2 linked regions of the Macaca mulatta genome follow. The protein of the gene in region 2 purifies or fractionates together with the protein of the main gene of each other region. This does not show direct contact. Links are inferred from orthologs where the notes say so. Each region holds a gene or a part of one and is shown on either strand. Other genes may lie near its edges. The genes, in order: FMR1 and TDRD3.

The links.
Region 1: the proteins of TDRD3 (region 2) and FMR1 purify together in Homo sapiens (affinity purification with mass spectrometry; 4 studies listed by BioGRID and IntAct, with this or other methods). This does not show direct contact. The link is inferred for Macaca mulatta from reciprocal best matches to the Homo sapiens genes TDRD3 and FMR1.

Annotation. Positions count from the first base shown.
Region 1 is NC_133426.1:154,197,409-154,201,236, reverse strand, and holds part of FMR1 (fragile X messenger ribonucleoprotein 1), read right to left. Parts: intron 3,333-3,828; coding exon 3,223-3,332; intron 2,377-3,222; coding exon 2,242-2,376; intron 1,749-2,241; coding exon 1,686-1,748; intron 1-1,685.
Region 2 is NC_133422.1:39,997,258-40,001,085, reverse strand, and holds part of TDRD3 (tudor domain-containing protein 3), read right to left. Parts: intron 3,419-3,828; coding exon 3,262-3,418; intron 2,243-3,261; coding exon 2,117-2,242; intron 1-2,116. UniProt on the Homo sapiens protein: Scaffolding protein that specifically recognizes and binds dimethylarginine-containing proteins. Plays a role in the regulation of translation of target mRNAs by binding Arg/Gly-rich motifs (GAR) in dimethylarginine-containing proteins.

The sequences.
Region 1 (3,828 bases), on a different chromosome or scaffold from region 2:
CTTGCTGTAGCCTTGACCTCCTTGGGCCCTAGGTGTTCCTCCCACCTCAGCCTCCTGAATAGCTGGGACTACACGTGCATGCCACCATACCCAGCTAATTTTTGTATTTTTTGTAGAGAAGGGGTATCGCCACATTGCCCAAGTTGGTCTCGAACTCCTGGGCTCAGGCGATCTGCCTGCCTTGGCCTCCCAAAGTGTTGGGATTACAGGCATGAGCCACTGCACCTGGCCGATCAAATTCTTTAAAAAAATCAAAATGAAATACCAAGGGTACAAAAGTAAAAAGTAAATCATTTCTGCTAACCAAGTAAAACAGTACACACAAAATACAAACAAAAACATCAGGATAAAAATGCACTGAATAATCTGTGAGACAAAAAAAATAGGTACACTGACAAGCGTTAAGTTTTATTAAGCCCATACACAGTTCAATAATGTACTCAGAAAATTTTAAAAGGCTGAATCACAAGGGAAGTTTGAACTTCTCTCTATGGACACTACTTAATATAAGAACAGATTTTTAAAAGGCATATGCTAAATGTCTGTACTCCTAGCCCATATATATATATATATATATATATAAAATGAGGGAAAAAAAACGACTTCTTGTCACAAGTTATAGCGAAACCTAGACACAATTGTGCAAATTATTAACTGGCAATTCATTTCTGCATGTTGGGTGTTTCTCCAACAAGCTTTATTTGTTACAAAGCCTTTAACTGTATTATTTCCCAAAATACCATGTGATGGAATGAATGCTACACCCTTCCCTCTGGGTCAAACATCACCAAACTAAGCTTTAAAATCCTATGTAATAGATTTAGTTAGATTGACTTTGGAGCAAATTATTTACGAATATCTTTTCTTGCAACGTTTAAACTGTTGGAGTACCCCAAGGGCCACTCTAATTTAAGCACTTCACGAGTAGACCTGAATAGTAAATTAAAATGAAGAAAGGCAAGAATTGACTGATGGCCTTCAATATGGACACCAGAAAAAAGTTCCTCCTTGTTCTGGGATAATGGGCTGCCCGGTAATGAGACATATCCAATCTACTTGCCGTTATAGTTCTCTTTGTAAAATGGCACCTTTGCTTTTAATCCATGAGTTCACAACATTTTTTCCATAAACAGTTCTCACGAGCTCTCCCTGCCCTCAAGGAACTTACAATGTGGTTGAGGAGATCAACAAATAAACATCTATGTTTAAGTGCTATGCTAGGGCTGAGCACATTGCAAAACAGAAGGGGAAGGCTCTTGAACCAGCCATGGCGGTGGGGATCTTTGGCAAGTACACAAGGAAAGCTTTGTAAGGAATAAAGTCAAAATGAAGTGACAAGTGGAGGAGAAAAAGCGTTCCAGGCAGAGTAAACCTCTACATACGTCTAGAAGCAACATAAGCATGAGAATGTTCAGAGAACTCAAAGTACTTCAGTATGGCTTAAGCGTCTCTAGAGTGCAAGGGAGAAGATAATTTAGACATGATACTGGACAAGTAACTGGGAAAAGCCTTACAAGCGGCATGAAGGTGTTTAAGCTTTAACTCCGGGGCAATGGATCCACATACCCACAAACACTCCTCCCTCCAGTCCCTAATCCTGATGATCTTTTGTAATCTTTCTTAACAAGGGGAATAAACATTAAAATATAAACTGAAAGTGTACTTCTCAAGGAATGTTCTCCTACCTGCCAAGCCTTGAGTTCAGGTTTCTGGGATTCCCCTGCTACAACTGATGAAGCCACTAACACCTAAAGCAGTATAAGGAATGCAAGGGATGTCATTAACTATAACAAATGATACACAGAAGCCTGAACGCAGGACTTTCACTGCAGGACTTTTAAACCGATTTCTAAATAGATTAGTTCAGAAAATTAGTTTCTAAAATATGGTTTTAAGTAGTAACTAATGCATCTAACAGAAGGTGTATTTTGAGCTACAATACCTGGAAAATTTAAAGAAAGAAGGCATGGAAAAAAGCCCACTGTCAAAAGAAAAATGTGACCACTAAATGCAACCCCATTATTCTGTGTTTACAGCATAAGATTTGTCACTGTGAATAAATTGAAAAGTATGTATCACATTAATATGTAGTATCTCATAAACTGGCAATCACATTTGAAAAAAAAAAAAATAGAACATCAGTAGCCTACAAGTCTAACCAGAGAAAAAACCCAAAATACCAATTGTGACATCTGAGACAAATTTCTTTTATTGTAATTCAAAGTGACAAGTAATTCTTACCCTCTGGACTTTTGTACTGTTAGGTTGAGAAAAATGGGTGCTGTTTTCCTTTATATCTAAATGTTTTTTTTCTTCTGGGGCATTAGGTCCAACCCTTGAATTATTGGAAGGAAGGGAATTTGGTGGCATAATTTCCTTGGTAAAAAACAGAAAACACAAAAAAGAAAAAAAGGGCCAATTTAAAACTTTATTTAGCTCTATTAATGTTATCAATCATATTTTTTAAAGATGTAAATTATAAACAGTTTTGGTTTATAAAATTACAGAATACAAATTATATACAGAAAAAAAGATTTGACTTTAGCTAAAAGAATCTTTCAAAAAGAAAGCTAGACAATATGTGAAAATTATGGCTCTTTGAGGAGACAGTATCTTAAGAGTACTATTGCACAGAAAGGTGCATCCTCACCTCTCTACCCCATGCAAATACTTTAAAAGCTGCTACAAAAAGCATATATTTATGAAGATAAAAGGGTTATAGAATTTAAAGGTAAGGAGGATGGGGAAGAGATATTAAGCACAGAAATAAATTTAAAGCACACAGAATAAACACATATACTACACAATCCCCAAACTAAAAAAGTGAAAAGATAAAAGCCAGAAAACCTACGTTCCAATTTTGCCTTTGTCAGCAACATTAACATTTACAAAGTGCTTTAAAAAGCATTTATATATATATATTATTTTACTAAATTGTTATTAACACTCAACCCAGTGATGTATGTCTCATATTTAAAAATTTATAACTACCCATTTTAAAGATTAGGAAAAAGGAATTCAATAAAGTGACTAATCCAAACTCACAGCATTAGAGTACAGAGAGGGGCCATTATCTACAACTATGACATTAATTACAGCAGGCATGCTTGATAATCAGAATATTTGCATTTACTTTATGCACATATTAGAGGTCTTCAACATATCACATAAAAAAAACTTTTACTATTAGACAAGCCACAAAGTATTTGTACTGGAACATACCTCTTCTTGTGGAACATTTTTCTCATTTTCAGCCTCAATCCTCACCCTCACAACTCCTGACTTATCCACAATCTCCTGAATCAGCTTTCCGTTTTTTCCTATTACTTTGCCTAAGAAATAAATAAATAAAGTTTGGTTTTAAAAACACATACCTTAAAGCAGTAAGCACAGCCCTACTGTAAACTATGACATTCATATAGATAGACATTTTTATGTGTATGTGTACGTATTGAATTGTAAGATTTCAAAACCAAAGTAGAGACTCTTTTCAACAAGATGGTTAATCTGGTTTTCTGTTTCATTAGGACATCATTGTTTAAACTCCTTTGGTCAGGTACCAGAGTTGATTAATGCTTGCAAACTGATTGGGTAATTTTGAATTTTTAAGGCAGTTCAAAGATAGCCTCTCATTTTTGCACAAAAGGGTACGCTTTAAACTTGCTGGTACTGTGGTATGTATCATTCTTTCTGCAAAGTTCTATAAAAAGAATTAAGAAAAAAGGAGAGATAATGGGAAATATATTCACTTATTCAATACTTTCCATTCTTATCTGTACCTGATTTAAATCTGCTTCTTTGTCCATGGTATTTTCAGAATTCTGTATG
Region 2 (3,828 bases):
CTGCAAAGTCACAGAGGTGGAGCTGCCCAAGACCATGGGAGCTCTCCTCTTTCATCAGTGTAACCTAGATGTGAGACATGGAGTCAAAGGAGATCATTTTGGAGCTTTTAAGATTTGACTAACAGCTGGATTTCAGACTTGCATGGGGCCTGTAGCCCCTTTGTTTTAGCCAATTTCTCCCATTTGGAATGGCTGTATTTACCCAATGCCTGTACCCCCATTGTATCTAGGAAGTAACTAACTTGCTTTTGATTTTTCAGGCTCTTAGGCAGAAGAGATTTGCCTTGTCTCAGATGAGACTGGACTTTTAAGTTAATGCTGAAATGAGTTAAGATTTTGGGTGACTGTTGTGAAGGCATGATTGGTTTTGAAATGTGAGGACATGATATTTGGGAGGGGCCAGGAGTGGAATGATATGTTTTGGTTGTATCCCCACCCAAATCTCATCTTGAATTCCAACAAGTTGTGGGAGGGACCCAGTGGGAGGCAATTAAATCATGGAGGTAGGTCTTTCCTGTGCTGTTTTCGTGATAGTGAATAAGTCTCATGAGATCTGATGGCTTTATAGAGTTTCTCTGAACAAGCTCTCTCTTTGCCTGCTGCCATCTATGTAAGATGTGACTTGCTCCTCCTTGCCTTCCACAATGATTGTGAGGCTTCCCCAGCCACGTAGAATTGTAAATCCAATACACCCTTTTTCCTGTATAAATTACCCAGTCTCGGTTGTGTCTTTATCAGCAGCTTGAAAACAAACTAATACAGGAGTCAAAAGCAAATGTAAGGGGATAGGAGGATGAAAGGAAATCAAGAGTTCTCAGTGGGACAGTATGAAGAGAGGTTGGGACAAAAATACTCATTAAGTCAGAGTCAGGAAAAAGAAAGATCTGAAGCAGCAGCAGAGACTCTGTTGCTGGCTTTGCAGAAGCAAACAATATGTAAATTGCCTATGGGGTGGCCCATGTGGCAACAATCTGAAGGCAGCTTTTAGGAGACAAAGCAGTCTCCAGGCAACACCAAGCAAAAACAGGACCTCAGTCTTGCATCCACAAGGAAATGAAATTCTGCAAGAACTGGTGAGCCTGTAAGAGGACCTCAAGTCTCTGATAAGATCACCACTCCAACCAAAATCTTAACATCAGCATCTGAGACTTTAAACAGAGGCCCCAGTGAAGCTGTGCCTAGACTCCTGACACAAAGAAACTATAAGGTAATAAAGTTGCATTGTTTTAAGCCACTAACTTTGTGGTAATTTGTTACACAGCAACAGAAAACTAATACATCATGCTTACAAATCTTGCCCACGTCAAACTTTGTTTTCTCAAATGCTACACTGCCTTTTCTATATAATCTAGCAAACATGCTTCAATTTTTATGAAATCTGAACATTTCACATTGGTTACAAAAGCATTTTATCTATGAGCTTATTTGGCTAGATAATTCATATCTAGCTTATTTGGCTAGATATATTCAAAATATATCTGAATGATAAATTGAATTTAAAAGCATATTTCCTTAACTTTTTGGATCGTATTTTAAAAACTTATCATTTTAGAAAATATTTAATATATTATGTGCTTAGAAAAAGGCTGCATATTACCATACTTAGTTCTCTTTTCAATATGTCAATCACTAAAGTATATAAAAAAAAATCACATTGTGAAAGCATTTTCACTCACTGTGTGAATGTTTTCAAACTATGTAATATGGGGTGAAAGAAGAGATATACCAATTTCACAATCAAAATGTTATATAAGATTATATAATAAATTTTCCAAAACAACAATCTGTTTACATAGTTATATCTGTCATCTAGATACGAGCAAATTAGGGAAAAATAGTTTGGTGAGATTACTAATCCCAGTTAGGGGGCAAAATAAGCTGCCATTATGTTTTCAGAATATAACATTTTCTTCTGTGCTTTTGTCAAGCAGGAATTTGTAATTAAGTAAATTTATAAATAAACAATCAGGATATATGTTCATATTATAGTTGCTTTATTATACAGTTCCAAATAAAGTTTGGTCTCTTATAAAGAATACACTAAAAAAAAAAAAAACCACACACACACACACACAGAAAGAAAAAAAGAAAAATAATCGACTTTAAATTAGCCTACCTTCCACATTCAAAGTTCCCATTTTAGATTCCAAGAAATCAAATAATGTGCTTGGTGCTGATGGCCTTGCATTTCCCAGGTCCTCTTCATCTTCAGATCTTATTCGTCCCCTGCCTTTTCCTCTACCTTTAGATGTAAAAGCAAGAAATATGTACTATATATGCAAAAACAAAAAGAATATATACTAACATATAACCAAAAATTTTAAATAGGGATTTTAATTTCTTTCCATATTTTTTGTATAGTCTACATCTTTTCAGTAATTTTTTAAAGTTTTTTAAGTAATTATATTAAGTAGCACATTTAATCCTCTAAATAAATCATCTATTCAGAAGTCTGAATTTGTTTATATAAACTATCTTCTAAGTAAAAATTATAATTTATTCTTCAACCACAGACATTTTAAAAATAATATAGGACTGGGACTTGAAAAACCACATAATAAACTTGACCATGCAATGATTAAAGAATAATACCAAGGCCGGGCGCGGTGGCTCATGCCTGTAATCCCAGCACTTTGGGAGGCTGAGATGGGCCGATCACGAGGTCAGGAGATGGAGACCATCCTGGCGAACATGGTGAAACCCCATCTCTACTAAAAATACAAAAAAATTAGCCAGGTGTGGTGGCAGGCGCCTGTAGTCCCAGCTACTCGGGAGGCTGAGGCAGAATGGCATGAACCCAGGAGGTAGAGCTTGCAGTGAGCCAAGATCGCGCCACTACACTCCAGCCTGGGTGACAGAGTGAGATTCCATCTAAAAAATAATAATAATAATAATATCACCAAGTAAATGTAATATTTTTGTTAATTTTTAAAAGCTTAGTCATTCTCAGGTGGCAGAGTTCTAGAAATAATAGAACCAGTCACATATTTTCTCTGTTATTCATAACAACCTTGTTAAATAAGTCATTGTTAGACCCACTTTGTTTTTGTTTTGTTGTTGTTGTTAGACCCATTTTGTACAAAGATGAAGACAACGAGACTGGGACTACAAATGTCTCTGTGGTTCCCAAACTGGTGTTCCTTCCACTTACCATAACGTTAAATAAAATTACAGCCCTCACAGCTAACAGCCTCTGTCAATAACAAATATTCATCTAAAAAGCAAACAATACTATCTGGCACACTGTTTAATAAATTATACCTCTCAGAGGAGGACCCATAACAGGTTTCTGTTTATTGCTTGTAAGAAGCACGTTCAATGCTGCTTCTAAGTTGTTGCCATTATCCATAAGAGCTTGCCTGGATGCTTCCTTACTGAAGCCCATTTCTGTTATGTGCTTCAGAGCTTTCTCATCAACCTGGAAGGAATAAAGAGAAAAGCTGGTTGGTAGCCCACACATAAGGCAATGCATAAACTTTTAACTATTTGCAGTCTTAACTAAAAATTACATCTCATACTTATGTAAAAATGTCATTCTAATACAACAGTCTCTTGCTGATTTTTTACAAGAGGCAAGGAAGAATCTGTATGATATGTGGGGTTGTGCCTTGAGTATTCTCTGACCTCACAAGTAACACTGCAAAAGCACAAAAAAGAAATTTTATGGTATGTTAGAGTATGGCCTTTGAAAATAATATAGACAGTGAGGAGAAAACTACCTAATGAAACTTTTCCATGGTAAAAAATGGAAATTTTTTGATACTTCTCCATACTAGAAGAGAAATGTAATTCATACAGCACCTCTCCAAAAATGTAAAGTATTGAAGC